4 linked regions of the Diceros bicornis minor genome follow. The protein of the gene in region 2 interacts with the protein of the main gene of each other region in a biochemical or structural test. Links are inferred from orthologs where the notes say so. Each region holds a gene or a part of one and is shown on either strand. Other genes may lie near its edges. The genes, in order: TEC, KIT, GRB7 and PTPN6.

Region 1 (8,110 bases), about 2.9 Mb from region 2:
CTTCCAGGTTCTCTCACCTACATGAAAGACAGACGGAGCTGGGGCCCTCACACCATGGAACATCATGCCAGCCTGACACTGACTTCTTACACATAAGAGAAAAATAAACTCCTATTAAGAGCTCTATTACTTTCCTATGGCAGCAGTAACATATTACCACAAACTTACCAGCTTATAACAACACAAATGTGTTCTCTTACATTTCTGGAGGTCAGAAGTCCAAAATCAGTTTCACTGGGCTAAGACCCAGGGGTTGGAAGGGCTGGCTCCTAGTAGAGGCTCTAGGGGAGAACCTGTTTCCTTGCCTTTGCCAACTTCTAGAAGCTGCCTGCATTCCTTGGCTTGCTGTCTCTTCCTTCATCTTCAAAGCCAGCAGTGTAGCGTCTTCAAATCTCTGTCTTGCTGTTTGTATGTTCTCTGCTTCTCTTATCACATCTGATGAGGATGAACTCTGATTCCAATCCTCCTGCCTCCCTCTTATAAGACCCTTGTGATTACATTGGGCTCACCTGCATAGTCCAGGATAACCTCCCCATCTCAAGATCCTTCACTTAATCACATCTTCCAAGTCCCTGTTGCCATGTAAGGTAACATTCATGAGTTCTGGGGATTTAAGATGTAGACATCTTTGATGGGTCTTTATTCAGCATACCTCAAGGGGATGTTCCTTACTTGTAGCTAAATCGAATTTTAAATGACTGACCTTTCCACCAGAATGTAAGTGCCACTGTAGCAGGGAGTTTTGTTGTGATCATTCACCAATGTTTTCTCAGCTTCCTGCTAATGCAGTGATGGTCTCATTTTCACGACTGCCACCACTGAGAAGGAGGCAGCTTCAAAAAGATCTGGGTACAGAGCATTCCAGGCAGAAGAAACAGCAAGTGCAAGCCATCAGGCCAGTATGACTTTTTAGTCATACTAATAATATCGCATACAACATTTTATTGTAATATAGCTCATTTTATTTGAATCTTCATAAACTATCAAGTCGTTGATATTCTGGATCCATCTGAAACACTCTTCAGATCCTAATCCAAAACACAAATTGACCAAACCCAGATGGTTCCCCTCAATATCTTTCTCATCTTTACCTGTTTCTTCTTCTGAGTATAATCTGGTTTTACCTCTGTGACATCTTCTCTGACTCCGTAATTTAAAAAGTTTTTGCTTACTATCAAATCAACATAAAAACATTATACAAGGAAATTTCTGGCAATGTTGCACTGTCAAGAGTGTAAACTCTGGACTTGTACTGCTGTATGTTCACATTCTGGCTCTGCCACTCACTGTGTGACTTTGGGCAAATTACGTAGACCTTCTCTGCCTCAGTTTCTTCATCTGTAAAATGAAGATAACAACTCTACCTACTTTGTGCAGTTATTGTGAGACTTAGACGAATTAATCTATTGCACCGAAAAACAGAGCCTGGCACATAGAAACCCCCTCAATAACTGTCCATCATAATTCTTATTTTCAACCCAACAATTTTTCCCACATAATTTTTATTTAGTTGTAATCATAGGATGCATAAAGCATGTGTTCTGTTTTTTCATTTAATGTTCATAAGTTTTCCTCCACATTTCTTTTTATTAACATAGATAGAATTTTTAATAACAGCCTGACATTCCATGCTAGTGATATATCTTGCTTAAACATTTCTCTATTATTGGACATTTAATTATTTTATTATTCTAAGTGATGGTCTTATAAAAGTACTTTGCATATAATGCTTTTTCTTTCTTTTGAATTATTTATTTAGCAACTGTTCCCAGGAGTATAATTTTTAATTTTGTGTCCAACAATTAAAACTCTTTCCTTCCTTCTGTGTAGTTCCAAAGAAGTAACTACTTTCAGTACATGATGGAAAGAGAGGCAGATATGACACCACCACAATGATGTCATCTTCATGGATGAACAGACTCTTGGTACAAGACTGACAAGGTCTGCATTATCATCATCATTGTTGTCATCATTCATTCATTCAACACGTATTATTCACCTGTGATGGGCTAGGTTCCCCAGAGCATGAGAAGCTCCAAATACAAACACTACTTTATTTACAAATCTTCCAGGTTGATCCTGTGTGTTCTTATGCACAATGTGCAATCTATATGCGAGTTAAAAAGAGGCATTTTCTTCTCTCAAGGAACTAAAATTATGTCAACCTGATATTGCTCATCTAAACACACAAATTTTATAGAAGCCATAGGGCTATCTTGTAAGAAGGGGGTCCCTGTCTCCAAGAAGAAGAATACATAAATGCCTTTTATTCTGTATCTCAATTTTATTAAAATAAAGAAGGCAGTAATAATATTGTTTGAATCTTCTCCTTGGAGGCAAAGGGAGAAATCCTTTTAAGTCCACCAACAGATTCCTTCTTTTGATGAGGGCTCCATGTAAAAGTTTTGAGTCATATAGGCCTAAACTTTGTATTCTGTTTTCTATTAAAGCTGTTGAACTTTTCCCATCAGAAATAATAAGATTTAACTTTTTTTTTAGCCTACCACATCCTGAGTTCAGTTTGACACCTTTTTATTGATGTAGTTGAAGTCCTCTAATAGTCTCACCTCTTTCTGTCTCTCTTTTTATCAACACTCTCCTGAAAACAATTACCAGTATTCTCTGCCACTTGCTTTGGAATGATATAGGTATATCACCTACTTAAACTATTTGATAATGTAATGAATTTCATTTTCTTCAGGAAGTAATATACGGTTATGGAAACTACCCCCGTTATCACCGATAAAGAGTTATATTGATGTAGATGTTTTGTTTACAGATCAGTTCTCTGGTTTTCTTGAGAACTAAGAGGACAATATAGACATTTTCATCTCTTTTAATTTTAAACTTTAGGAAGGGGTTATATGAGGGTATGGGTTTGCTGCCCTTTCAATCAAACGTCATAAACTTTGAGAGCCTCCTTTCCATTGAGTCAGAAATAAGAGCCACCAGAGTCACCCAGCTAGCACAGACAAAGTGAGTTGGAAATCATTTCTTTTAATTACCACATTATCAGTTAACCCCTTAAGACGGTGGCTCTTACCTTTCTGGGATCAGTCCATCTGATGAAGGTTCCAAGTCCTCTCACTTATGCGTATATGTATGTGAGCATTTTTCTTGGGAGAAAACCAACTTTTTTTTACCGTAAATATATAACTGTAACTCTCTCTTTCTCTCCTTCATACACACACACACAATTTTTTGCATACAATTTCAGAAGTTTCCTGACCTCTACTCCCTCAAAGAACACCTGCCCTGGGGGAAATTATGCTAACTAGTCAACACAAGTATCTGAACCGGATAAGAGGCAGAAGAGAGGGGCTAGGAGGAGACAGTAGATCACAAAAGAGAAATTGTGCTAAATTCATTCTGAGGACAGGTCACTATACTCACCGCCCGACCAGAGCAAAAGAGGATTTGGAATCAGAAGGCCTTGATTCAAATCCGTGCATTCTTCCCATCCCCACCCTGCCCCCTTTTCCTAGTTAATTGTATAACTTTAGGCAAGTCATTAAACCAATACCGTCCTCAGATTATTTTTTTCCTGTAAATTGGAATCTTGTCTGACTTCTCAGTGTTATTGTATGATCAAGGGAGAGACAATACAGGAAGGCATATTTTTAAGTCCTAAAAAAGCAAGAAGCATGATAATTATTAATGCATTTGCCATTCCCTTAGCTTTATCTTCAGGTTGACTACCTGTCCTATCTTCATCTCTCTGCTCCGCTGTCACCTCCTCAGAGAAGCCTCCACAACCACCAGATCCAAAGTGGCCTCCCCCTCCCCATCACTCTCAATTCCATCACCCTGCTTTATTTCAGTCAAGACACTTCTCACATATGCACGGCTTCATTTTTACTTCCTTATTGATTACTTATTGTCCTTCTCTCCACACTAGACTAAAAGCTCCTTGAGGGTAGAGTCCTTGTCTTGTATTCACCAGGCCTGCAACAGTTCATGGGACATGGTGGACACTCAAATTTTGTGAGTCAGGATAGCAGTGGTTTAGAGCCCAGATTCTGGAGGAGGACTACCCGGATTTGAACCCGAGCTTTTCAATTTACTAGTTAGGCGACATTTGGAAGGTTATGCGACTTCTCTATGCCTCACTTTCACCACAAGTAAAATGGGGGATTGTGATAACATACACTTCATAGAAAGGTTAATGCGTGTCCAGTACCTACAACAGTGCCTAGCACATAGTCTTACGCAAGAGCAGTTTTTTACTCTTCAGTGAGTGAGTGCAGTGTTACTACATTAAGAGTGAGGACACGTGACCATCTAAGTGTATCAGATATGCTCCGCTGCCTCAGGTTTGACAGTAAACAGACTTATTCTTTTGGTAAAACTCGTTGCTTCGCTCCACTGCACCGCATCAGCCGCCTGGCCTGCCACCACTCAGCGGAAGAGAAGGCTCGGTCCCTAATTCCGACAAAGTCCCCGGTCACCCACAGGAGGCACTCGGGGTTCTCCCGGGCCGGCGGCGTCCAGCCGTCGAGGGGCGGTTCCCCCGGCGTAGGTGGGCCGGCCCTAGGGAGGACCAGCGCCGCGTCCTGGAACACAAGGGACGCTCCTGCGACTTCTCTGAAACTCCCGCTGCGTCGCGGGAACCTGGACGCGCCTCCGATTCACTTGGCCTCCAGGTTCAAATCCGCGGGCAGGGCGGTGGAAACCTGTCGCTGCGGGCCTTAGCGATGGGGGGCGGAGCGATCGGGGGCCGGGGCGGGCCGGGGCGGGGGCGGGCGGGGCGATCGGGGGCGGGGCCGGAGGGCGCCAGGCTCCGGACTCCGCGGCGCCGGCGGGACCTCACTCTCCAGGGCTTGGCGTAGCCGGCGCGCTCCAGCCAGGTAAGGACGCCGCGGGCCGGCAGGGGCGGCCTCGAGACTGCGGGACCCCGGGCGGGAAGGGTCGGGACTGGGATGCGTGCGGCCAGAGGTGGATTCCACAAGCCTAGAAACTGACCCTCGTGGAACGAGGAAGGATTTTCACCCCTCCGCACCACCGCGAGCACAGAGCGCCGCGCCAGGTGAGGCATCCCGTCCCCTTTGGTCCCGGAAGAAGGGACAGGTGCGCGCCCCGGCGTAGCCGCGCTTTCCGGGCGGCCGCTGCCTCTCCGCCTCCCGGCTCCGGGACTGGCCTCTCCCGAGGAGCACCTGCCCCTTTTCCCCTTGGGTCCCTGGGCCGAGGCCGCCCCGCGGCAAGTTCAGCGTTGGGTTCACTTCCCAGCTGCGCGTCAAGGTTGATTCCTCCTCTTTGCTTGGGCAGCAGCGCAGTCTTGATTGCAAGTTGTGAGAATCGACGGCGACATTCCACAGTTGCGCGTGTCCGAGTGCCTCACCCCACCAAGCTCAAATTTTTTTATTTGGGAAATTGTGTTTGAATCTTGAAAACAGGGGTTCGATGAATCCCTGTATTGCAAAAATTGGGGCCTTGACCCGGGAGTGTGCACTTTTCCTCGGATCCTACATTTCCTTTGGTTTGATTTTTATTTTTAATGGAAGAATAACACGTGGCTCTGCACCAGGTTCGGAAACAGGATCATCTATTGCCATTCTTTGGAGACTGGAATATTTGATTAGAAGGGTTGATCTCAATGTTAACTTGGAACAACAGGATGGCTGGTGGCTAAGTGGGTTTGAAGGTTATCCAAAATAGTTAAGCGTTTTGAGCATATACCCTGTATTTTTCCAGTGAGTGCCCATTTTCCTCTTAGGAAATTCTGAGCATTTACTTTCTTCTGGATGATTCTCCTCTAAAGAGCTGGGGAGAAAAAAACAACCCCAACAAACCAATAGATTTCCCAAATAAGTTTAGGATTTAACAGGTTAGTTTGTGATGCTGGTAGCTCCTTAGTTGGCAAAAATCACGTTATAGAATGTCTCCATATATGGAGAAGAGTGTGTAATTTTCTCATTATATATTTGAAAGTATTTTTTAGCTTAGTTACATTTTCAGTGTTTGAGAAAGATCTATACTTTCCCCATGTCCCAGTTACTCTGATCAGTATATTACTACTCTTGCCAGCTCATGATGCTTACTGCAGCGTGTTTATGTTAATGATCTTGATTCTTCCCACAAGGATGTGTACATTTTGGCCCTGGGAACTGTATAGGGCAAGTGTTGTAAATCATGCAAATCAGTGCTGTGCGATACCTTTGCCCCACATAGGTCCTTGAACTAAAATTTTCACATCTCCCCAAGTAGGAAAGAATATAGAATATAGAATATTAATATAGAATATAGAATATTAATGTATGCTCTAGCAGTTTCAACCTGTTTATGTACTTATTCTGTATCAAGATCAAAACAGTTGTCGTGTTTTCTCAGCAGCTAGTTAGACCTTTAGGGCAAGGGCTGTGTTTTATCAAATCATGGTAAAGCTCAGAGAATGGCGACCTTTGCTGCCTGAAGTTGACCCTTGACAGGGTGGTTGCGGGGGTTGTGGGCAGTGTCTGGCCACTTTTATGCTTGGGGAAGAATTGTTGGTCTCCCTGCCTTCCTCTGGGTATCCAGAGTTTTGGGAGCCTGGGCCTTGGGCCTCCAAGCGCACCTCTGCCTGCAAGTTCCTCCAGGTTAACCAGGTTGGTGCCTCCTGTCCGCGCCCCAGCTTTTCCAGCTCCTTAGCTTCCATCCCACTCCACCTCTCTCTGGATTCCCACCCCTGGGGAGAATTATTGTTTAGGGCAGGGATACTTGGTCTGCATAGTTGACAGGGGTGTGGACCCTCAGCCTGGTGCTGGGTGCCCTATGGATGCTCAGTATCTCAGCACTGGATACTCAGTATCATCAAATATCTGTTGGTGACAGTGTCACTTGTTTCAGAGCCCTTACTGTGCTCTCTTATCCAGGCTGCACAGGGAAAGTGGAGTGACTGTGGTTGAACCCAGAATAACCACTTTGGGGGCCAGCTGCCTTGATTGGATTAGGGTCCTAAATTGGGCGTGTAAATCTGTTAGAAAGGAGTGAAATTGGCCCATGGTCACTGGCAGTTGTAAAATTACCCCGTACCCTGTGATTATGCCATGAGAATAGCTTTGTCAAAAAGCTCCCCAGAGGAGAGGGGCTTAGTAGTTGCCTCCACCTCCCAGCTCGCCTCCACCTGGGCTTGCTCTGCCCTAGCTCAACCAGTCCTTTCCTGGCCTGGATTATAACTGTTAACTTTTCCACCATGTTTGACTGCTCAGAGCTCGGATGACTACAGCTACTGTGGTCTAGAAGTGAAAATTACATTATCTTTTGTTTAGGGGAAACAAGGATGGAATTTTTCCAAACAAATTGTTATTACGGGAACAAAGAAAAAGCAAATAATGGAAAAATGTGTGGGCATTGAAGCCAATTTTGTTTTGTTTTGTTCTGTTTTTTAGTTTTAAACTTTTATCCAAGTTACATTTTTCCCTCTCCAGAAACAACCACTGTAATTCTTTGAGCTGGTCATTTTGACCTTATTGCTTATAGTTGATACTTCTTGAGTTTTTCAGTTTGAGGCGTTATCTGTTGACTTCCCATTGTGGAAGATGATGACTTGGCTCTCTTTTTTCCTCTAAGCCCCAACCCAACCACAGCTTCCTTATTTTCCCATCCTTGCAATAGTTAAACAGTAATTTTGGTTAGATCAATATTCATAGCTAAGCCAAGTACAACTTTTTGTTTTCATTGGAGTTAATAATTGCTTTGTTTGTTCATTTGGTTAGTTTTTTAGGTACTCGTCATTAATTTAACCCAAAGCTCTTGGCCAGTTTTCTAAATCTTCGCTCAGATGCATCAGGTAGTCTATCAATTTCATTTTCCCGAAGAAGCTGCCCCTGAGCCTCTTGGCTTGTTCTAACCTGGCCTGGTTGCCCTCTCTACCCATAGGGCACAGTTGTCCGCTTGACCACCTCCGTTTGGCATCATCCTCAGGATCCCCATCATCTGTCTGCTGTGTTGGATCTCCTGTTACCTGTAGCACATGTCTTCCTCTATCTTGGTAGACTGCCTTGTTTTGGTAGAGCACATCCTCAAGGAGCTTCCTGTCAAAGATGCATGGGATGTCTATTTTTTGAGACAATGAATGCCTGAAAATATCTGTTTTCCACTGACAATTGATAGTTTAGAATTCTAGGATGGAAAT
Region 2 (7,826 bases):
GCATCAGGCTCTTCCAGCCTCAAGTTTGGGCCCCTTTCAACTCATCCTTCACCAGCTTCCTCCCTATCTTTCCAAAATGTAAATCTCATCACATCTGGCTCCAGCCTAAAGGCCTTTAGTGACTCTTCATAGCACAGAGGATGAAGTTCACGCTTCTTGGCAAGAACGGTTCCTGTTTATCTCTGTGGTCTCTACTCTCCCCTCCCCGGCAGTCCCGTTTCCCTAACTGTGCTGCACTACTGTGGTTCTTCACAGTCCTCATGCTGTTTCATGCCTCCTGCCCTTGGCGCGTGTGCTTCCTACCGCTTGAACGTTCTCCTCTTCCTGCTTTGCCTTCTCCTCCTGATCCCTCAGAATCTAATTGCTACCTCTTTGGGGGAGCCTCGTGAGATCGCCGTATAACATGATTTAGGGTTCACATGTCATCCTGCACATAGCTCTGTCAGGGTACATATAACAATTTAATCTTTGATCCCCTTACGTGTCTCTCTTCTTTTTCTGCAAATCTCATGGGGGCGGCATCTGTGTCTTGTCTGACTTTTCCTTCCCAGCACCTAATGTAGCTCATCTGGCATATAGAAGGTGTTCAATAAACACTGGGTGAAAGCTTGAACTAAGAGCATACACTACCTTCTCCCATCCTCACCAATGGTGAGGTGGTTATTGTTGGTATAGAGTCCACCAATGAGGATCACATATCCATTTCTCCCACTTTATGCACAAAACCTTTCAAATGGTTACTGGAAAAATAAGGACTATCAAGTAACAAACTTGAAAAAGATTATACCCTTGGTGTAGTAATTCCACCCCCAGAAATTTATCCTATACAAATAATCAGAGGCAGGGAAGTTTTATTCACCAAGATGTTCATAATCAAGTAATTTATGATAGGAAAAAACTGGAAAAAAATAGAGAAATGATTACATATTTAGAATTATGGTACATACATACAAGTGAACATTATACTGCTGTTATGTATTATGTTTCCACAGAAATTTTTTTTTTTTTGGGTGAGGAAGATTAGCCCTGAGCTAACATCTGTGCCTGTTCTCCCTCTATTTTGTATGTGGGTCACCGCCACAGCATGGCTTGATGTGTGGTGTAGGTCCATTCTCGAAATCCAAACCTGCGAACCCAGACCGCTGAAGTGGAGCACGCCGAACTTAACGGCTATGCCACGGGGCCAGCCCCCCAAAGAATTTTTAATGATCTGGGACAATGCTTGTGTTATGATTAGTGAAAAAGCTGGATAGAAAACTAGCAAGTATTGTAAAATCTTAAATTATACAAAGAAAAAAAAATCCTTAGCATAAGCAGAGAAAAAAGATTTGAAAGAAACACACCAAAATGAACGCTTCAGTAATTATATCTTGGGTGATTTTTGTTTTGTTCTTTATAATTTTTGGTATTTTCTAAAGTTTCCACAGAAAGCATCTTTACTTTTACAATCAGAAATTAAAAAATTTTTCAAGTTAGAGATTTGGGCTATGTGAGACAATAGTAGAACATCTTTTAAAATTTAATTTAATTTTTTATTGCAGTAACATTGGTTTATAACATTATATAAATTTCAGGTGTACATAATACTGAACATCTGTTCTATTTGTGCAGCATCATTTCGGCTTCTTCTAGTGAAAGTACCTCAGGTTTTCTTTGGGGACATATCCCTTCTCATTCTTAGGCCTTGGGATGTGGATGAAGTGGATACTCAACCCTGGCTCCAGGGGTGGGCATGTGAGCCAGACCTGGCCAATCATCATATTCCATCTGTCTGGCTTTGTGACTGGTTCCAAGTGGGCATGTGACTTAAGCCAAGTTAATACTTTTAAAGGAGATGTTCATGAGGGCAGAAAAGCTCTGCTTACATTGGTACTAATGAGCTGTAAGCCTAGAGCTGCTTGAGTGCACATGAGGACAGGGAATCAATACAGGAAAGTATTGCTGAAGGATGGAGATGCAGAAAAATGCATGTGTGTGTACACACACACACACTACCTTCAAGTCCTCACGTTTTTGAGTTCTTGGATCTAGGAAAGTGTAGAATGCTATCATCTCTGGACAATTATGAAAACAATAAATTATATACAATATAATTCATGAAAGGGTCCAGGGCTATCACAAAATAGAGTACAGAACTGGTCCTGTACATCCTACCTGAGATATCAAATATTTCCATCATTGTAAACGTTTGTATTGGACATGATCTAAAATATAGTTCATTCCCATAGCAGTTCACTCAGAGCACCTTCTAGATGCCTCCTTTTAGTACCTGGCTGGCAGAGGGTATTATTAAAAATAGCTAATCACCCTAAAGGCACAGGGACTGGAGGCTCTCTGCTGTGCCCGGCATTAAACCTTTAATTGCTGGATCTGAGGAGAGTTGGGGTATCTCAAGGGAGGGGTTGGAGTGAGGGGGCACTTAGGTGTTTTGGAGGAGTGGCTTTTTTCCAATAAGTACAGAAAGATTTCAATATTCTACCAACCAACTTGGTGTGTACTGGCAGAACATGAGCCCCGTTAGTAGATATTATAGTTTCTTATTTGGGCATCTGTTTTCTCCCCTGGACTGTGAATCCTCCTAGACAGGGACCTTGTCTTATTGATTTTTGTAGGTCTTGTGTCTACCTAGGTGCTCAACAGGTATTTGTTGAATGGTGAACATGAACAACAGTCACGCATTGTATAATTCCCTACTCTAGGTTTTTTTTTTTCCCCTTTGATAGAAGTTTCCTGCCTAGAATTAAATTGCAATATGGTCTCTTTTCATCCACCCTTCTGAAGACTTGTTATCCTCTCCAATATCAGTCGATTGAAGAAGAAAATTGTGAATTTTCTCTCTCGGGTATAATGTTGATATTTTAACTCATAGTCATTTTTTTCTCACTACGAAATGGATTTTAGAAATAAATCAAGATCCCAGAAACTTATGATTGCTTTGAGTGGAGCTTTTATCTCTGTCATCCTCAGAAAAAGCTGTGGTCTGAGGGCGCAGAGTACAGAGACTTTTGCATTTCACTTCTCCCACAGCTGTATGACTTGAACCATTTGCTAGGACATTGGGGTGTGGGTTCCCACACTTGACTATAAGGATTGTGGCAGTGCCCACATCTGTCTGTTAACAATGGTACTCCTTGTTCACAGTAGACACTTTAATGCTTGTTGAATGAATAAATAATCTTAAAGAGAGGCAATCATACCCATTGATCTAGTAGCAATAATTTTTAAGTGATTAGCTTTAAAAATCATTTTTCTTAAACCAACTTAGGTCCTATCAACATCAAACAGGAGAACTTTCAATGTTAAAGTGTGTGTGGGGTGCTGCTGGTTAATTATAAATTTTGAATGTTATTTTAGAGAAGAGTCTAGGTGTATCTAAATTATTCCATCGCTTTTTCTGATGAGCATTTCCCATTTATTTTCCATTGTTAAGCTCTCTGGAGGGGTGTTTTACTGGTTTATTAGGATGCATAAGGAAAGCTCATCATACCCGGAGCCACCAAAATGACTGGGTCTCCTCTCTATTAGCTGTGTGATCTTGGGCCACTTCTAGAACTAGAATAATAAACATATCTGCTCTACCTACCTCGCAAAGCTGTTATTGTGAGCATGAAATAATATTCAGTGTAAGGAGGAACTATAAAACCCTATACAGATACTGTTGGGACCTTCCCAGGCAGTGGAACCTGGCTTAGGAGAATCCTTTCACTATTATTTTGCTCCTGGTACAGGCTAGGGCAGCAGAAGAGGAACGGCTCGGATCCCCACCCCTGTAACTGTCTTCGCATAGAGGGCCAGAGAAACCGTATGGGGGACAAAAAGAGAAGGTGCCCAGAGGGTTTAGCACAACGATCTCGGCGCAAATGGGTGTAAAAACTCGGGCTCCCAGAGCAAACTTCGCAAGGCGCCCCTCCCCACTCCGAGGCCCCAGTCTCCAGAAAAGCCTCGGCAGGGGCTTGTAGGGCGGAGGCCACGCCGACCAATAGAAACCAACTGTGATCTTACCGGTTGAGAAGCAGGTGGAGAAACTGACCAGAAAGAATTACGCCGCGGCTTAGCCTTTTACCGCGGTGCCAGGCACCACGCTTGGTCGCCCCCACCCCGACTAAAAGAAATGGAGAAGACATTCTTCTCCCTCTGCCCCCAATTCCTGTCCACCTCCACCACTAGCGGCGTCCAGCCTCCTCCCTCAGGAGCGTGCTCGAGGGGCAGGCGGCGAACCTTTATTGTCTGGGGAGCACCTGCCAGGTGGCGGGCCCGTGCCCTAATCTGCGCGTGGTGCCCAGCTTCACAAAGCGCGCGGGCAGCACCACCCCCGTCCGGGAACCGCCTCCGGCGCCCAGACCACATCACAGGAGTGAAGAGACGAAGGGGCTCCGGGGTCGGGAAGCGGCGAAGAGGGTCGGCGCGCCCTCCCGCTCCCCGCGGGCTCAGACCCCCGGGATGAGTACGTCGAAAAAGCAGGGGCCAGACGCCGCCGGCAGGGAGCGAGAATCAGCCGTGAGGCAGGGAGGGGAGGGGAGGCGAGGAGGGGCGCCGAGAAGGGGCGTGGCCGGCGCGCAGGGGGAGGGCGCTGGGAGGAGGGGCAGCTGCTCGCAGCTCGCGGCTCTTGGGGGCTCGGCTTTGCCGCGCTTGGTGCACTTGGGCAAGAGCAGGAACGTGGAACGGAGCTCCGATCCCAGCGCAGCCACCGCGATGAGAGGCGCTCGCGGCGCCTGGGATTTTCTCTGCGTCCTGCTTCTCCTGTTCCGCGTCCAGACAGGTGGGAGAGCGCCGCGGGCACCGGGGCCGCGCCCCTGGCGCAGCCTGTGCCCCCGAGGGCTCGAACACGTTGGGGTGTGTCTGGAGAGGGGGCTGCTGGCCCTCCAGTGCCCGTGCATTTCAGCCTCTGGGAGGATGGGAGGCGTCCCCGGACTTTCCTGCGCCCTGCCTCGCTCACCTGCGCGAGGAGACCCCAGCCGCTGGTGGTGGGGACGCTGAGCTGGGGTCTTCCAGAAATGAGGGCAGCGAGGGGGTTTAGGCGTGAGCGAGGTGCAGGCTGAGGGCAGCGAGCTGCGTGCGAGTTTGGGGTTGCTTTTGTGCCGAGAGTGCGTGAGGGCACAGGCGGACGGGTCGGCGGGTCGCACCCAGCGCGTTATCTCCGCCGTGCGAGGCGCGGCCGCTGCTTCCTTTTGTTAAAAGTTGCGCGTGTGTGACCGGCGCACCGGGGGACCGGCCCGCAGCTTCTCAGCCGCGCCGAGGTCAAAGTTGGAGAGGCTTTTCTTTGCTCTGCGGCTGCTGCTTTCCAAACCGCGAGCGCTCTTTGTGCCTGGGAGCTGAGGACTGACCCACTGCCGCCTCTGCTCGCGGCGCCACTCGTGGACGCGAGTCGAAGGCTGCGGCGTCCCCCCGAACCCCTGGTCATGCTTTTGCACCGGGAGCGCGCCGCGTGCGGCTCTGGGGCCCGACCCCGCTAACCTGGAGGGGGCGGCTACAGAGGCAGCTTGGGCAGAGCGTGTGGAAAGCAGCCGCTAGGTTGCAGACTTTTAGCTTTAATAAGTCCGGTGCCAGAGGCTCGCCACTCTCTGCCGCTTGCTTCCCTGCCACGCGCCTGGAAGCGGCTGGTGGCTGCGTTGCCGCTTGCTCTCGGGGAAGGCAGGGACAGTGCGCTGGGACGCCGTGGTCCCCGACCCCGGCCGCCTCCCACGCCTGGTCAGGCTAGCGGGGCTCTGCAAGCCCCCGGAATCGGTGTCTGCAACCTGTAATCGCAGGTCCCTGTTTTCTTTGGGAATTTTGAGATTCGCAATACTCACTCCACGTGATATCTATATATAAGGGCTGCGGGAGGTGAAGGGTGGGAGACGGAGTGGAACTTTGCAAATCTTACTTGGATCTTAAAGCTGTTGTGAAAATCCGGTTATATCTGCGCGGGAACTTGGGTCTTAAGGCGGAGGAGAAGGATTTACAGGCTCCTCAGTCAGATTCCTGCCCCTTCTTCCCTTTTCTCTGGGTGTCGCTGGTGCGCGAGCGAGCGCAGGTCGCCCAGCTAACCCCTGGAGCCCTGCTCGCTCTCAGGTCATTTTTTAAAAAGCTTTAAGGCTACCCTCATGATGTGAGGACAGAAAGTGAGTCTGAACTGGAATTCAAGGGCTCCAGAGGAAGCATCGCTATGAACTATTGTGGGGCTCTATGGTCAGTTTTCCCATAAAGTCGCAAGATGCAGGGTCCGCCTTCCCGGTCTTGGAAGGCATTGTCAGGGCTTACCTGTCGGAGAAGGGGGCCCTTGCATCTGGACTCGTGTGAGGTAGGAGGGATCGTGAGTGAGTGTCCGGATTTCGTGGTGGATTTGACCGCCTAAGCTTCCAATGAAACGTTTGGTCTTTACATCTTGGCATTTTTAATTTCAGTTAAGGTATGTAGACCGGAAGGGAGTAAGGCACTAGAAAGACAGACCACGCAGAATATTTCCCTTTTTAAAAATTAAATGAATCATTTGCTTCCTTCTTCCGCATCAGTAGCTTGCTCCATCCAGTAGGCTTTTGGCAAAGGGAATTTTAAGGTCTGGCTTCTGGGGGGCACTGTGGTGTAGTGACAAAGCCTTGTGCTGCCGTTCTGGTTTCTCTATGCCCTTGGGCAGGTCGCTTAAATTCTGGAGAGCCCAGTTTCCTGAAGGGGGCAGTGAGGCATCTGCATCATGAAGGGTCCTTTGGATCCAAAAATTCTCCTCTTCCAGTGTTCTGAGTGTAGACTCTACACTTTTTCTGAGTTTTTTCCTGATTCCTTCCTGCCTCCTTGAAATCTCTCTGCCGCCTCTGTCACAGGGACCACTTGGTGGTATCCTACTGGTCTCCCCCTGGTTAAGGCAGGGAGATGTGCTTATGCTGCCCTCTCTTCAATCCACACATGCTGGCCTGCTATTTCCCTTTGAGGGCTAGGAGGTGCCAACTTGCAACTCTACAGGACCCTCATCACCTACCCCCCCCCTCCCCCCAGTATTTACAACTCCTGTGCCCGGCAGGATGAACCTGCAAGGAATAGTGAATCATACCTTCCCCATGTTCCTGCAGATGTGAGCCTAGAGTCATACCCAGCAGCTGGACACAGGATATTCTGGCTTAATATCCTGCTGGAAGTAATATGATAGTCTTATAAAGGGATTCCAGATAATTCATTTATCCCCATTCTGGTCTTTCCTGCTCATCCACACGTTTTTCCTTAGGACCTTATAAATCGTGTATGCTGTGCATTTACAGCACGTTTTCTGATGTGTCTTAAATTTCACGTTACATGTGTGTTGTACGTAGTTATTGCTTTTTATTTGGAAACTGTGTGCCAGGGCCTGTGCTGGAGCCTTCACCTGGCATTTCCAGTCCTCTCAACAAGCACCGGAGGTAGAACTGTTGCCATCCCTACCATTTTACAGCTGGGGAAACTGGCTGAGGAGAAGTCAGTTCCCAGAGTCATCAGTGGTGAAACCTGAGATTGGCCGCGTGTGCCCAGCTGTATATCCATTCACATGACTTACCCATTCGAAACTATTTAATGAGGACCTGTTAAACGCCAGGCATTGTTGGAGGTTCTGGGAACACAAGATGGCCAAGTCATTACTTTCCCAATTTTGGTGAAAAAGACCTAGAATTGCCTGTCTTATGATGTCTGAGTTCGAGTGTTCTCAGTTTGAGGGAAGTCATTAAATTATAGCCTTGGGTATAAGGGCTTTAGGTGTGAGCTCTCCCATTCCAGGTAGAGTCTCTCAGAAATGAAGATAAACTGTCCCTAAAATGATGGTGTAAGCCAGCTGAAAATTTTTTCCATCCCCCACTCCAAAAAATAAAAATGGTCTTAGCATT
Region 3 (7,571 bases), on a different chromosome or scaffold from region 2:
TCGCCAGCTCCAGGTAGGTCGCCTCGAAGCCGCAGGGTTCACTACGGAGACGATACCTGGGGTCCGCTTGGGTTTCGGGAGAGGGGCCTCTGGGGACCCACTCCCGTCCGGTCCGGACCCCCCACCGGCCAAAGCCGCTCACCAGTACTCCACCATGATGCGGACCCCACTGCCCGGTTCGATCTCCCCGGGAGGGGGCGCTACCGACGGCGGCCCCGGCTCCCCACTCATTGCGGCCCGCTCGGCTCCAGCCGCTGCTTCCGGGTGTGCGCTACGCCGCGGACACGTGACGGGGCGGGGGCCGCGCGTTACGTTCGGGCGCCCCCTGCAGGCCGCGGTTGCTGCTACGTTTTGCCTCTATCCCAGCTCGAGGGCTCCGAGCGGGTCGGACCGGTCCAGACCTCCTTCCCGGGCGTGGCTTCTCAGAGAGCGGGGCTTGTCCAGCAGCTGGTGTCTGCCGGGCTTCACGGCCTATTTAATCTAATGAAATATCTTAGACTGCAAGGCGCATGCCGGTTTACAAAAGGAAGACAAAGTGGTGGGGCAAGAGGACCCAGGGCCTGGGGTTTGGTATGGAATAGTTGCCATTTGTCGCTAACATGTTGATGGTATTTTAAACCACCCCATAGTCACACACCCAAATACTCTGACTCTTAAAACTCTAAACTGTAGGCACAGTCTGGGGCAGAGACCGCCACCCCCCTGCATTCGGAAGCTTTAGGCTTTGGGGTCTCCTGCTCCTGAGGCTCTGTGCTCCCATCACGTGCACCCAGTTTCTGCAACTCCCGTCTCTCCCAGCCTCCCTACAGGGCGGGCATCGTTATTACCATTTTGTAACTCTAGAAATGGAGGCTGTCTCGCTGCCTCTTCCTTCCCACTGTAGTATACTAACAGGTCACTCACTTTAAACCGTTAATTTTTAAACAATTCAGTGATGTATCAAGTTGTGCGACCATCACTACAATCCAGTTACAGAACGTCTCTATTAACCTAAAAAGGTCCCTCCTGCGTGTTTGCAGTCAATCCAGCCCCCAGCTCCAGCCCTAGACAACCACTGATCTGCTTTCTGTTTATAAATTTGCTTTTTCTGGACATTTCATATAAATGGAATGATACAAAATGTGGTCTTTTGCTTCTGGCTTCTTCAGTATAAAGTTTTTGAGGTCCAGCCATGCTGTAGCATGTACCAGTAGTTCCTTTTTGTTGGTGAGTAGTATCCCATTGTATGGCTATACCACCTTTTGTTTATCTATTAATACCAGTTGATGGACATTTGAAGTTTCCAGTTTTTCCCTATTTTGAATAACGCTGCTATGAACGTTCATGTAAGTGTCTTTGTATGTATGTGTGTTCTCATTTCTCTTGGGTAGATTCCTGGGAGTAGAATTGCTGGGTTTTATGGTAAGATTATGTTTAACTTTTTAAGAAACTGCCAAACTGTTTTACAAAGTGGCTGTACCATTTTCCATTCCTGCCGGCAATATACGAGGATTTGTTTCCCCCTTACCTTGTCAACACTTGTTGTCTGTCTCTTTGATTATAGCCATCCTGGTGGGTGTGAGGTAGTACCTCTTGTGGTTTTAATTTGCATTTCTCTAATGACCAGTGATGTTAAGTACCTTTTCATGTGCTTATTAGCCACTCGTATATCTTATTTAAAACATCTATTCAAATCTTTTGCCTATTTTTAATTGGGTTGTCTCTTTATTATTGATTCATAAGAGTTCTTTGTTTATTCGGGATACAAAGTCCCTAATCAGATACAGGATTTGCAAATATTTTCTCCCAGTCTTTGACACTTTTTTTTTTTAATTTTCTTAATGTGTCTTATAAAGTGCAAAAATTTTCAGTTTTGATGAAGTCTGATTTACCAACTTTTTCTTTTGTTGCTTGTGCTTTTGCTGTTGTATCTGAGATCTCTGCCTAACCCAAGGTCACGAAGATTTTCTCCTATGGTTTCTTCTAGAAGTTTTATAGTTTTAGCTCTTACATTTAAGTCTACGATCTACTCTGAGTTAATTTTTGTACATTATGTGAGGTAAGGATATAAATTCATCTTTCGGCTTGTGGATATTCAATTGTCCCCAGAACCATTTATTGAAAAGACTATCCTTTCCCCTATTGAATTGTCTTGGCATCTTTGTCAAAAATCAATTGACCAGAAACTTAAAGGTTTATATTTGGACTCTTGATTTTGTTCCATTGATCTATAAATCTATTCTTTGTTGTTCTTTTTTAATTTAAAAAATTCATATACAATTTATACACAGTAAAATTCACCCTCTTGAGTGTACTTCTTTGTGAGTCCTGACACGCTCATTTGTACATCCACCACCATGACCAAAATACACAACAGGTCCATTACCTCTTCACAAGTCCCTGTGCCCTTCTATTGTCAACCCTTCGCCCTCCTCCCCAACCCCAGATCTGCTTTCTGTCCTTATGGTTCTGCCCCTTCCAGAAAGCCATACAAATGGAATTCTACAGCCCTCAGCCCTCTGAGTCTGGCTTCCCTCTCCAACCTATCCTTTGACATCCAGAGTGATCTTTCCAAAATAGAAATCTGCCTCCTCCCCCATGCCTCTACATAAGCCCAGATAGACCTTGCAGGTCTGGCCTCTGCCCATAGGCCCTGCCAGTCTGGACAGACAGGATGGATGGCTCTTAAACCTGGTTTACAGAACAACCACCTGAGGGCTTGTCAATACCACACATTCCTGGGTCTTGGCCCCAGAGACTGAGATTCAGTAGATGGAGAAGGGCCCAGGGATCTGTTTTTCATATAAGCCGAGGGAGATTTGGAGGCAGGTGGTCACAGGCCACAATTTGAGAAAAACATCTGAGTCCAAAACACTTGTCTTTCCCCATACCTTCCATACCTGCTCGGGCTTACTTGTGTGGCCTCCTCTCCTTCCTTCTCCTCCGCCCCCACTCTGCCTCTGCATGCTGTGTCCCCTCCTGCCTCCTGCCAAGGGCTTTAGCACTTGTTTCCTCATGATGAAAGGTGCCCTCCCTTCCCCATCCACCAATTCCAACCTCCTCCCTGTCCCAGACAGCTTCCCCTCTGCTCCATCATCACTTCCACAGAGAAGTCTTCCGTAAATCCCTGGGTGAGTCATTCTCCCAGAATAGTTGTCACCTGTCATTTATTAATTGTGTGTTCTTTGATTAACATCAGTCTCCCCGACTGGGCTGCGTGAGAATAAGGGCAGAGTCTGTTTTTGTTGCTCACCACTGTCTTCCCAGTACCAAGCATGGGGTTGGCATATAGTAGGTACTTCACAAATATTAGTTGAATGAATGAAGGAATGAATGATTGAGTGAATTGTCTACTGTGCTTTGCACAAGCTGCTCCATGGCCCAGGTGACCTTGCCCCCTCCCCGACTTCTTTGCTTGGTTCACTTAACCTGGTTTTTCAAGGGAAACCCAGTTTGGAGAAAGTTGAGGCTGGAGCCACTCCTTAATGGTCCCCCAGGGCAGACCTCTTATCACCCTGTGGATGTTTGTTTACCCAACTGTCACCCACTTCAGGCTGCTGCCTTTGATCTCAGCCTCCCAGGTCCCCTCCCGGCCCTCTCGTGTTTGCTTAGTGCTGAAGGAGAGAGCTAACGTGATCGCTCTAAGGGAGTCCCTTGGCACCTGGCCAGAGCTTTCCCCAGATCACTCCTCCCACCAAGAGACCCTGCCTAAACCCTTCTATTTCAGAAGAAGAAGCTGAGACCCTGGACTTTGTTCAGAAGGGAGGATATACCCTGGGTACCTCTGAGGGGCTAGGGTACAGCCTGGCTGGCTAGACTGTGGCAGGAGGTCAAGGGGCAGGCCATGTTGATGGACGACCCTCTGGCTGGCTTCCCTCGTTCGCAGAGTGCTCTTTTCCCCAGGAGGTGAGACCCAGAGCAGCAGACAGGCCCCCTAGCTTGGCCAGTGAACTGACCAGGTTTGAGGAGGGGCATGCGGAAGAGTGGGCGGGGCGTTTCCCCTACCTTCCAGCCCCCAGCCCCTCCCTCCCAGGTCGTGAGGACTCTAGATCTTCGCTCTCGAGGCTGTTCAGTTCGACTGTTTTCCCCGCTTCTCCCTTGGCACCTGCTGCCGGGCTAAGAAGGGCGAAAACAATTCCAGCCAGCGTAGTCAGCGAGTCCCCGCCCCTGCTCCTGTGCTTCCTCCTCCCAGGCCCCTCCCCCGGCCCCGCCCCCACCTGCCCAAGATAATTTTAGTTTCCTTGGGCCAGGAGCCCGGACACACAGGACTGACCCTCCCCCCACTCCCACTTCAACGTCCAAAGTCGGGACACCTTCCTACTACCTGTAGAGAAGAGGGAGTGGATTTGAAATCAAGTCGATTTCGAATCTGGGGTCCCTAGACAGAGCCGGACTTCGGACGCTGTGTCCTGCTACTCCTGCTGCGGCTCCTCCAGGTAAGGGGACCGAGATCGGTCCCAGACGACAACCTGCTCCCACCCCCAGCCGCACCAGGGCCCCAGCTGTGCCCGTCTCTGGGCCAGGAGCTGGCTGGCTGCCCAGGTGTGCGGACAGGGGCCCGCCTGGCTCCCCTCCCTTCCCCCCTCAGTGATGTCAGGCCAAGGGCGGGGGCAGGAGGGGGACAGGTAGTTAAGGGCCTGGCGTCTCCCTCCCTAAACCAGTGGCCCCAGCCAGGTGTACCAACGCCCGGGGTCCAGGTAAGGACCAAAGCGATCACTTCATCTTGGGGGTGGGGAGCTCCGGAAGGTCCCGGGTCAATATGGAAAGATTCGGCCTCCTGCTGTGTTACTCTGACGGCCTCACTTTCTTTTCCTCCAGTCTCCCATCCCGCCCTTTCCCTCCTCACCATCTGCCCTCAGTCTTTCCCAAATTCTCATTTCCTGTACTCCTTATTCCTTCCTTCCCTCTCTGTACCCGCCTCCTCAGCCCCCCGGAGAAACCAGCTGATGGAGATGGGAAAGTAAGATCTCAGATTTTCTCTCCAGGAGACGCGCTTTGCCGCTGAAACTAGCCCCTCCCCACATTCCCAGAAAGAGAGCTAGGAGAGGGTCCGAATATCGAGGGAGCTGCCCCGGGTCACTCCTTTGCTTAATTTGATTTTACCCCAGTTTGAGTTTCCCAAAGTCTTTACTAAACACCGACGTCTCCGCGGGGGGAGGGGGGCATCCTCCAGTTTGGAGGGCAGTAAAGGTGAGGGATTCTCTAAATTGCTAGAGCTCCGTCTCTCCGGGAACACAGGGTCCTGTCCTTAGATGGGGGGCTGGGGCGGGATAGGCCCGGGGATCCCTCCCGGCTTCAGAATGAAGTGGGCTCGGAAGGCTGGAGGGGCCGATGCCGGGGGGGGGGGGGGGGGGGGGGGGGGGGGGGGTTTGCAGCGCAGTGGGGCCTAGGGAGAGTCTGTGGTGTTGGGGGGCAGATGGTCTTGTCTGTTTGAATAGTCTGGGGAAAGACCCGAGTGGGGGTCTCCCTGGCACGTTGGGGATGGAGAATGCACCTGTCCGCCATTGGAAGGCCTCCCAACCCCACTGTCCCTTAAAGAATGCCCCCTCTTGGTCGCCTATCCTGGACTCTGCTCTCCCTTCTCCCCCTGATATCCTGCTGGGGGGGCCCTCCATGAAGGCAAGCAGCCTGTAATGATTAACTCCACAGACAGTCTAGCATTCTTCCCAAATTAAACTTTAAAAGAGCTGCCCCCGCACCCCCTTGGGTGTTTTTTCCTGATCGAGAGAGTGGGCGGGGCCCCAGGGTCCTGGGCCCTGCTCCCAACTCTGGGTGACCCAGGGGTTTCCCCACCTCCTCACCTGGGCCCTGCACCCTGAGAGCTCCCCCAAAGGTTAAGCCTTCCCCACTACAATAAATCCCGATGGGGGTGGGACGTGGAGTACTGGGCCAGACTGGGGGCCTTTCCGCCACCTCCAGGTTCCCAGCCCAGGCCTCTGCCCTACCAGCCCCTCCCCCCACCCTGGAAGCACCCAAGGTGGCCTTGTTTTCTATCGGCTCTAAACACTGGGCCCTGCCACCCGCCCTTGGGGCCAGCCAGGTGGGGCAAGATTCAGGAAGTAAACAAGGAGGCAGGAGGCTGGGAGGGCGGGAAGGAGGGTGGGGCCGGAGCCACCGGGGCAGGAGAGGCGGTTAGGGAAGCCACAGTTTGGAGCTGCAGTGTGGAGGGGACAGATTGATTTCGGGGGTCAGTTTCAACAGAAGCTTCAGATCTCTTGGGAGGGGGCCTGCCCAGGCCCCACAGCTAGGACCCCGTTCTCCTCCCATCTCATCTCTTTTGTCCTGACTGCCCCACTCCTCTTTGCCTAGAAGGGTCTGGAGGGCAGCGTGGAGGGATGTAAAGCCAAAACCCAAGTCTTAAATCGGCCCTTCTGCCCTCTGACCCCAGACTCTAATCGGATTTAAATCTACTCCCCTCTCCCCTTCCAAACACTGTGCGATTCCTGCCCGATTCCTGCCCCCACTCCTCTGTTGGTCTCTGACTTCGTGGTGGGGGTGGCCCCTGCCATCCCTCCCCCTAGTCCTCCCCGGAATGAAGTCACCAGGGCTGTTTGCCAGAGGTTAGACAGAAGGTGGGAGTCTGGGCATTGTGTTTTGGTGTTGCTGTACTGATGTTTGTTGATGTTCGATAGTGGGTGTGTCTTGCCCTTTGCACCACAGGACTCTGAGCCCCCTCCCTCGTTCTCCCTCCAGGCCTTTCCCTGTCTGCCTGTGTCAGTCCTCTTGGGTGTTTTGACTTTCCCCTCCTGCTGCTGTGGCACCCCTCTGGCCAGGACACCCAAGAAAGTGTGTTAACAGGACCCTCATCCCCCAGAGGTGTTGCAGACGAGTCCCCTGGGCCTTCTGAGTCCTCCCCTGGGCCTTCTGAGTCCTGGGTGCTAGGGGTGGGCAGCAGCAGCAGAATGAAAGCCTGGTAGGGCCCAGACAGGAGAGGCAGTGCTGTGCGTTTCCTTGGGTGAGCCAGGGGCACCACTGGGAGGTCGGCTCCACTCCAGATGGGCTTCTGAATCCGGGCCGGGCCTTTCTTCTCCCCTTCCTGTGTGAGGGGGCTCCTGGGCTGGGTGGTGGCTACAGGACTGGGGGCAGATTGCAGGTCCCACCTGGACTGGTGCAGTTGCAGTCGGAGGTAGGCCAAGGGTGGGGAAGAGGAGGTGATGTCAGAGGAGCCTCAGGCCCCGCATCCTCCTCCTTCTCCCCTATCCTGTTCCCTGCCCTGTGCCTCCCCTATTCCTCCCAGGCTGGTAGGATGGGGGCAGGAGTGGAGGGGGTGGGTAGAGGCAGGGTTGTTTGTGTTTCTCCTAAGCCAGGAAGTTGTTCGGATGAGTCAAGGTTGAATGGAGAGCCCCAGGCAGTACTGTCCCGCCCCACCCTGACTCACCTGTCCCCCAAATCCCCTCATGCCCTCACTTAAGGGTCAGGGGCCTGCCCCGTCCTGGGAGGGCAATCCCAGGGCACCCCAGGCAGCCTAACAGCACTGGCCCAGTGGCCGGAGAGCGGGCAGGGGGCTGGAACTGATGAGTTCTCCCAGGCCCTCCTGGGTCTCTGCCCAGCCAAAGGGGTCTTGGTTCCTGTGGAGGAGGGGCTTGTGCTGC
Region 4 (8,160 bases), on a different chromosome or scaffold from region 2:
TCTGGATCTCCCTGTTTTTGATTGTCCATCTCTCTTCCCAGGCTTGGCTCCCTTCACCCAAATGCATGCTTTTCCCCCAATTCTGCCTTCTGGTGACACCTTCCTCCTCTCTGCCCTCCAGCGTCTGCCTCGGTGCACCCTCTCATTGACCCCCTGGCCTCAGGGTCTCACCTTACCCGGATCCCCTACCCAGCCGGGACCCTCCCCAACCCCCTTCTTCCTCACCCTCTGCACGAGAATGAAGTTCTTCGTCACCAGCTCTTTGGTAAGGATGGAGGTTGGAGGTGGGGAGGGTCTAGTGAAAGAAGGGCAGAAAGGAGGAATTTGGGTGAGATTGGCCTAGTTGGGCTTGGGGAGGGATGAGGAGGTGCCCAGAGGAACCAGGATGGAAGTAGGAGGGCTGAGGCCCTGCCCAAGAGAGGCATAGGTTTTAGTGCCAGGCTAAGAGGTTTGAATTCTAACTCCCCCACTGGCAACTTGCAGGACTGGCTGTTTCCTAACCTTTTTAGTCTCAGTTTCCTCTGTATGTAAAGTGGCTGGCTCTCCCCTGGCCCAGAGTAAGTATCTGTACCCCATCAGTCATGTGCCTCCTGCTCTTTCTGCCCACAGCTACTCCTTACCGGGACCTGCCAGCCTCCCTCTCTGCCCCGATGTCAGCAGCTCACCAGCTGCAGGCCATGCACGCGCAGTCAGCTGAGCTGCAGCGCTTGGCGCTAGAGCAGCAGCAGTGGCTACATGCCCATCACCCGCTGCACAGCGTGCCCCTACCTGCCCAGGAGGACTACTACAGGTACTACGACACCCCTTGGCAGGGAGTGAGGGGATGCAAGCTCAGCTGGCCTGGCAGCTGGCAGGGTGTGGGCATGGTCCAGCTGGGCACTAGGCTCCTGGGGGAGGGAGACCTGGCCCTTCTCTTCCACCATCCCCCTCTGTGAGAGGGGCCAGGTCAGGGTCGACCTCAGTCTCTCCTCTCTCTGCTCTGTACCCCCTCTCCCCTAGTCACCTGAAGAAGGAAAGCGACAAGCCGCTGTAGAACCTGCGATCAAGAGCACCCATGGCCCCTGCATCTGGACCTTGGAGGCCTCCTTCCAGGCCTGCCACCCAGAGCCGAGGAGGGGTGCTGCTCAGTTGAAGGGCCTCGCAGCTGAGCAGAGGGAGGGAGGAAGGGACAGATGGAAGTCCAAGGCTCCTGTGGTGTGTGGCGGTGGGGAGGTAGTGGGGGTGGGGGCAGAAAGCGCACAGTATCTTGGACCAGGTCCTTCTCCCTTGTCCCCCTGCTTTCTTCCTCCCCCATGCCCAACCCCCAGTGGCCACCACCCCTCCCCCACCCCGTTGGTGTGATTATTTCATCTGTTAGATGTGGCTGTTTTGCGTAGCATCGTGTGCCGCCCCTGCCCCTCCTCAGTCCCTGTGTGTGCGCGCCCCCTCTGCGATGTATGTCCCTTGCCCCTCCCCCACATTAATAATTTATATATATAAATATCTATATGACGCTCTTTAAAAAACATCCCAACCAAAAACAACCAAACAAAAACATCCTCACGACTCCCCAGGAAGATGGCTGTGACTGGTTCTTTGCGGGCTATGGTGGTGGGCTTGGGATGGGGGCTGGGGTCTCTGCGCAGGGGTCCCTGGAGAGGAAGCTGTGGAACCGGAGAGGCTGGCAGGGAAGTGGGAAGGGACGGACCTTCTGAAGGCACTGAGTGTAGGGACCCTGGAGAGTTGGAGACGGGATCTCAGAAGAGCCCGGGGCCCTGGAGCCCTGGCTTCCTAGTGGGGGTCCTCCCGGTGCCAATCCCCTCCTTCCTGCCAAGGCTGGGAAATGGAGATGCTGGAGGCCTGGGACAGGCACGCTTCGGACGTGGTCGGGTCTGAGAACGTTTTTGCAACTGGTCCCACGGCTAGGAGCCACCAGAGTCCTGAATCCTTTCCGTGGAATGGCTAGAGAAACGGTTATGAGGCGGAGGGGCAGGGGCCGTAGTTTCGGTGGGTTAAAGCGATTGGAATCCTATGGTTTGAGGAAGGAGCGAGTGACAACTTCAAGCTTAGAAAAGAAATTAGAGGGCGTACCGCTGCAGCGAACATGGCATCACAAGGCCATTTTAGGAAAGCGCGAGAGGTACTCTAGCTCCAAGCTTTTACTGCTGCGAGTCACTGTCTCCGTTCTTAAAAACTAAAGGGGTGTGACTGGCTTCTTTCTCAGCCAATCAGCATCGGTCTCATTTGCATAGAGCCTTAACAAACGTTCACAAACTCCAGAAATCAATGATATGAGTAAGTTCCTTAGAATACTGCTTTTCCTTCTGAAAGTTACACTGTGCCTCGTTGCTTATACAGTAGGAATTAGAAGAACCCCGTTCTGAGCTCACCCTCACCGATAGTGGAGTTCCTGGCTGTGCCGCCTTCTCTCCAGGCCTTTCTTTTTAGTGTTACAGCTCTTTTAGAATTTGTCTAGTAGGTTTTCTGGTTGTTACTGGAAAACCCCGTCACCGCTCGTTTTGAACAATAGAGTTAGTTGAAATGGGGTGGTGTCTACTTGTCGCTAGTACTGGAGTATTAGAAATTCGCATTTAGTGGTTTTGCCGTTGCCAGGAAGTCCCAGCAGGGAGACCAGCGCTACGCGGAGAGGCTTCCGGCTACGCTGATGCGCTTCCCCTCCGCCCGCATCCCCGAGAGCCGCTGCAAGAGAACCCTCTTTTTCTTTGAGCGTTAAGTTGGTTCCGCCGCACGTGCGGTTTTTGTTGCCGTATGGCGTCCGCCTCGGCCCAGCCCGCGGCCCTGAGCGCCGAACAGGCCAAGGGTGAGAAGCATGCTCGTCACAGGGTGGGCGGGCTGCCTGCGCAAGGAGGGTGCAGGCGGAGGATACGGAGCGAGAGCTGTGGTTGCATCGCCGGAGAACGGGGGCGAGGGGTACCGTCCTTACTCTTCCAAGAGGTGGTTCTTGTCTACTAGAGCGAGGGATTCGGGAGTCGAATTTGTCGGGTTACTATGGCTTCAGTCCACTAATTAATTCCTTGCCCTCTTCCCTGCGCTCTTGGCTGGGCCCGCCGGCCATGCTCCGACGCCTATCCCGGACGCCTCCCTGGGATGCATCTGCGGCACAGTGGTCCTGGCCGAGGTAATCCAGGCGTTCTCGGCCCCAGAGAACGCCGTGCGCATGGACGAGGCTCGGGACAACGCGTGCAACGACATGGGCAAGATGCTGCAATTCGTGCTGCCCGTGGCCACGCAGATTCAGCAGGAGGTTATCAAAGCCTATGGTTTCAGCTGCGACGGGGAAGGTGGGTCGCACGGAGGTCGGGGAGAGGGCGCTGTATCCGTCGGGTCCCTGAGCCGTCGTCGTCCTTCTCGCCACACGGCGGCAGTCACCATCTGACTATTAGCACTCAGAGCCCAGGGTCTACTCCGAACTTGTGCCAGGCGATGCCCCAGGTGCGTTTTGTCGTTACCGTAAGTGGTGATATGGTTATCCCATGTTAGGATGAGGAAACAGACTCTAGCAGTAAACTAAGTGCCCGAGGTCACAGCAGAGCTGGACCTGAACCCCTTCTGAGAGCTTTTAGTGATATGTCTGCGTGTCAGTGGGCTTCTGCAGCCCATCCAAGGTGTTTCAGCTAATCTCTGTTTGAGGGTCAGCAGTTCAATTCCGTTGAGATCATGGTGTTCCCCAAGGATGTTGTTTGACTCAGCCCAGCTGGCCCAGGGCCCTCATGTGTCCTGGTTATATAGACTTGGGATCTCATGGGTGTTCATACTTGTGGTTCTTGTGACTAAATTGCTAAAATGGTTCACCTGATAGTGAGAAGCGCACTGCTTGGGATATCTTCGTTAATTGCATCCTATCCAGTTGTGCCTGGTGTAGACCAGGAAGTGGTTGATCCGAACCACACAGGGTAGGGACCTGCATGTGTCTTGTGTTTTGCAGACAGCTACCTGGCCAGAGGAGGCGCAGCCAGTGACTCATGCTCCAGCTGCTCCCCCCTGCCATCTTGGGCACACCCGTCCCTTTGGGGTGTGGGCTGACGCTCCACTCCCCCTTGCAGGTGTCCTCAAGTTTGCCCGCTTGGTCAAGTCGTATGAAGCCCAGGATCCTGAGATTGCCAGCCTGTCAGGCAAGCTGAAGGCACTGTTCCTGCCCCCTATGACACTGCCACCCCACGGGCCTGCTGCAGGTGGCAGCGTGGCCGCCTCCTGAGGGTTGGCTCTCCCGTGTGACACTGCCTGGGAAGGGAAGATGTTGGTGTTCCAGAGGATAATAAACCTGCCTGTGACTTAGCCTCCGTGTCAGTCTTTTGTGACCCTGACAACCCCCACCTCCTGGCCCCAGATTCCCTCTGCCATTCCAGGCTGCTCCATTTCCCTGTCCAGATCCTTCCTATGCTCCTGTGGGGCCCAACCCTCCTCCAAGACAGGGTGGGAGGATGCAGGTCCCTCAAAATGCTGGGTGAGTGGGTCTGCACAGGTGGCACCTCCTCTGAGGAGTGGGGTTTCCTGGCTTTTCCTGAGGCCTTTTGGCTTCTGTGCATGGAGAGACTCCCCCATTGGTTTGTGTTCCCTTGGCCAGGGTTACTTCCTGGTCTTTGCTTCCACCCGCCCTCCCTCTGTCAGCTTGAGCGCCAGGTGGAGCTCCAGGTGGCTCCTCCCATCCCAAGGGAGGGAGGCCCTGGACAGGCAGGCGGGCCCTGGACTACCGAGCAGGGCTGGAGGGAGAAGCAGGCTGCTGTAGGCTGTGTGAGGCCAGTCCCGCCCCACCTGTCCCTTTTCCGGGGATCATTAGTCCTGGGGCTTGTCCCTGCAGTGCTATTGGCCTAGCGGTCAGCTTCGAGGAGGAAGTGGCCGAGTTCCGAGCGTTCTTCCTCACCTGGTTTGGGCCACTGTGCACAGCTGTGCCCCTGGCTCAGCCCCGCCCCTTGTGGCCCTCTGATTGCGACTTCCCCATCTCTCTGGGGAGATGCTGTCCCGTGGGTAAGTCCCCCGCTCCACCTGGGTACCACAGTCTCCTGTTACTTTGGGAGGGAGAGGCGGGGCTCATGCTCACTTTTAACAGGTGTGAGACTATGAGTGCAATCTGCTGCTGCCTCCTGCCCTGGGTCTGCTTCCTGTCTCTACATACTGCTTCCCCCCAAGATGTGAGGAATCCCAGGCTGATTCATGCCTCTCTGCCCCACCGCTCCTTTTCTCTAGGACTTTCCCCTGACAGATGTGTATTTATTCTCACCATTGCATTTCTCCCTTGCTTCTGTCGTCTGCTTAGGACCTGTGCCCCTGGGTAGCCCACGTCACCTGAAACAGGGTGTCTGAAATGCAAACCTGAGAAAGCTCCCTGTTCCCACATGACTTCCCATCTGGCCTCCGCTCCTCTTTCTCTCGGTTTCCTGTCACTTCCCCTCCCCTGCATCATTCATTCAACACATACATGCCGAGCATCTGTTACAGGCCAGGTACTTTTTAAGGTGCTGACAATACTGTAGCAAACAAGGTGGACATGGTCCCTGCTTTCACGGAGCTTCGTTCCAGTGCGAGGTGACAGACTACACAAGGAACCCAATTAATAGGATCATTTCTCAGAAGTGTTATGCAGAAAATGAAACAGTTTCATGTGCTAGTGAGTGACAGTGTGCCGCTGGCATCACTAGCTGGAGCGGTCAGGGAGGGCTTTCCTGAGAAGGTGATGCGGGAGCTGAGACCTGGATGATGAGGAAGAGTCAGCCATGTGGTGATAGTCACGTGCCCCTGGGCGGAGGGAGTGGCGAGTGCAAAGGCCCTGCAGTGGGAACAAAAGAGACAAGAACAGCGCCTGCCGCAGAGTAAACCAGCGGAGAGGGAACAGGGACAGGCAGTTAGGCCTTGCTGGAGTTTGCATCTTACAGTGAAGACCAGCTTGGGGTGTTGGTGTTTGTGGGTTGGTCTCCCCAAGTCCTGCTGGTTCTTCTCACACGTCTGCCCTTCCGGTTTGCACTGCTGCCCCCAGTGCACACCTCGTCACCCTCAGCCCCCTGACAGGGCTCTCATTGAGTCTTCTGGTCCCTCATCCTTCCCACACTCCTGCCACGGCTGTTTTCCTACCAGGTAGCTGGCAAGGCTTCTCCCGGTGCAGAGTCCTTCCTTGGTTCCTCAGCCTGGCCTTGTAAGACCCTTTGCAGCAGGTGCCAGCCTCTCTGAGCAGCTTTGCTCCAGCCATGCCACTCTGCTCACACCCCAGCATGGCTCAGGTGGCCCTGTGCCTGCCCGCTCGGGGCCTTTGCAGAGGCTGCCTCTGTGGGAACACCAGCCCCTCCGCTTCCATCGTGGGCTGTGCCGGTGCCCTCTGCCCCATCCCCCCGCACTGCAGCCTCCAGCGGCGCGGTTGGTGTGGTGGAGACGGCAATAGGCCCTGGCATCAGACAGCCTTGATTTGTCCACCTTCCCACTCACTTGTGACCTTGTGCAAGTTGCTTAACTTCTCTGAGCCTTAGTTTTTGTTTCTAAAATTAGGCTAAGACCTACCGAATAGGGTTGGCATGTGGATTAATAATGTAAAGTAGGGCCGGCCCCGTGGCTTAGCGGTTAAGTGCGCGCGCTCCGCTGCTGGCGGCCTGGGTTCGGATCCCGGGCGCGCACAGACGCACCGCTTCTCCGGCCATGCTGGGGCCGCGTCCCACATACAGCAGCTGGAAGGCTGTGCAACTATGACATACAACTATCTACTGGGGCTTTGGGGGGAAAATAAATAAATAAATAAAATCTTTAAAAAAAAAAATGTAAAGTAAAAGCTGTTGGCACTTAAACCCTACTACTAAACATTAGCTTTTTACATCAGTATTTGGGAAATACTCTTAAGTCCGTTTATCAGGTGGGGATACGAGGCTCCGGGAAGTTCATAATTTTCTAGAAATTATTTCACTTTGTTTGCTCTTCCAGACCACCTATCTTTCTGTATCACCATTGATCTCTATCTCGACCTTTATCTCCCTGCTTCCCAGGTGAATTTTCTCTTCCGAATGATTGGTTGCTTGCTTTTGTAATTCTCAGCCTCCTTGAGCCTGTTTTCCTCCGTTAAACAATAATTCCTACTTCACAGGGATGTCTGAGGCCCAATGGGGTTGTGTGTTTGCAAGTCCTCTGCAAACTCCAGAGCACTTATGTCAAGGGGAGGTGGAGGGGAGGTGGTTACGATTCATTTTTCTGTCAAGGGACAGCAGAGACTGTATATCTTATCCTAGTGTTTGTCTGTCTTCCAGCTTGACTACTTGGCTTCAGAGAAATTCCTGCCTCTTCCATGGGTCAGGAGTTTCTGGGTGCCTGGTTAGTTTCTTCCTGCCAAGTCAGTTTAAACCCCGGAAGGAGAGAGGCCTGTGGCCAGGGTGCAGCAGATGTTTAGTGCCGAGCACGGACCTGCAGTTTCGTGTGTGGTCAGGGTGGTGTGAACGTGTGTGGGTGTTTGCACCGGACCAGGTATGTGTGTAGATGGGCATGGATGATGAGGTGCATGTGGTGGGACCATGTGCCTAAATGGAGGCTTGTATGTGCGTGTATGTGTACTCATCTATATGTGACAAGCAGCGTGTGCAAGTGTAGGACCAGGAGGCTGGACTTGTGACCACATATGTGAACGGGTATTGATGAGCTTGTTTATCAGACATGTACTCCGTGAGAAGCGTGCTCAGCTTTGAACATTCGGAGGCGAGCAAGACTAGCAGCAACTAGAGCAAAGGGCTCTTCCTGCCCCTCGCTGTGAGGGTGTTCATGGTCCTTCAGGGTGGCCGTCCAAGACTGCAGGGGTAGTCAGTGTTAGACCATGCAATAAACAGGCCAAGCAAGTTCCCCAGGGCACCGGAAGGGAGGAGGAGCTCTTTTTAGGGGGGAAAATTGACGTTTGATGTTTCAAAAGATGATAAAGTAGTCATCATAGGAAAAATACACTTTCATTGGGCTTTAACATTTTGTTATTTTTTCCTTATTTTTAATTGAGGTATAGCATACATAAGGTGCATGAATATTAAGAATACAGCCTGATGAATGTCACACTTATACACACCCGTGTATACACCACCCAGATCAAGATTTAGAGCAGTCCCAGCACCTCAGATGTTTCCCAGAAATTGCCATCTCCCAGTCAATTTACTTATTTTTATAACAGCAATACATGCCCATGCTACAACGTTCAAAAAAGTATGAGGG

Evidence for each region.
Region 1: the proteins of KIT (region 2) and TEC form a complex in vitro, tested with the Homo sapiens proteins (2 studies listed by BioGRID and IntAct, with this or other methods). The link is inferred for Diceros bicornis minor from reciprocal best matches to the Homo sapiens genes KIT and TEC.
Region 3: the proteins of KIT (region 2) and GRB7 form a complex in vitro, tested with the Homo sapiens proteins (3 studies listed by BioGRID and IntAct, with this or other methods). The link is inferred for Diceros bicornis minor from reciprocal best matches to the Homo sapiens genes KIT and GRB7.
Region 4: the proteins of KIT (region 2) and PTPN6 form a complex in vitro, tested with the Homo sapiens proteins (2 studies listed by BioGRID). The link is inferred for Diceros bicornis minor from reciprocal best matches to the Homo sapiens genes KIT and PTPN6.

What each region holds. Positions count from the first base shown.
Region 1 is NC_080747.1:39,661,741-39,669,850, reverse strand, and holds the start of TEC (tyrosine-protein kinase Tec), read left to right. Parts: upstream 1-4,778; 5' UTR 4,779-4,847; intron 4,848-4,924; exon of another isoform or gene 4,925-5,026; intron 5,027-8,110.
Region 2 is NC_080747.1:42,550,288-42,558,113, forward strand, and holds the start of KIT (mast/stem cell growth factor receptor Kit), read left to right. Parts: upstream 1-4,617; 5' UTR 4,618-4,692; coding exon 4,693-4,759; intron 4,760-7,826. UniProt on the Homo sapiens protein: Tyrosine-protein kinase that acts as a cell-surface receptor for the cytokine KITLG/SCF and plays an essential role in the regulation of cell survival and proliferation, hematopoiesis, stem cell maintenance, gametogenesis, mast cell development, migration and function, and in melanogenesis.
Region 3 is NC_080757.1:39,388,950-39,396,520, forward strand, and holds the start of GRB7 (growth factor receptor-bound protein 7), read left to right. Parts: upstream 1-4,106; 5' UTR 4,107-4,415; intron 4,416-4,445; exon of another isoform or gene 4,446-4,676; intron 4,677-7,571. Other genes in the region: MIEN1 (migration and invasion enhancer 1), read right to left, coding at 1-41, 143-231. UniProt on the Homo sapiens protein: Adapter protein that interacts with the cytoplasmic domain of numerous receptor kinases and modulates down-stream signaling. Promotes activation of down-stream protein kinases, including STAT3, AKT1, MAPK1 and/or MAPK3. Promotes activation of HRAS.
Region 4 is NC_080756.1:54,821,798-54,829,957, reverse strand, and holds the start of PTPN6 (tyrosine-protein phosphatase non-receptor type 6), read left to right. Parts: upstream 1-4,720; 5' UTR 4,721-4,951; coding exon 4,952-4,965; intron 4,966-8,160. Other genes in the region: ATN1 (atrophin-1), read left to right, coding at 122-265, 610-790, 1,000-1,033; C17H12orf57 (protein C10), read left to right, coding at 2,749-2,800, 3,105-3,281, 4,044-4,195. UniProt on the Homo sapiens protein: Tyrosine phosphatase enzyme that plays important roles in controlling immune signaling pathways and fundamental physiological processes such as hematopoiesis.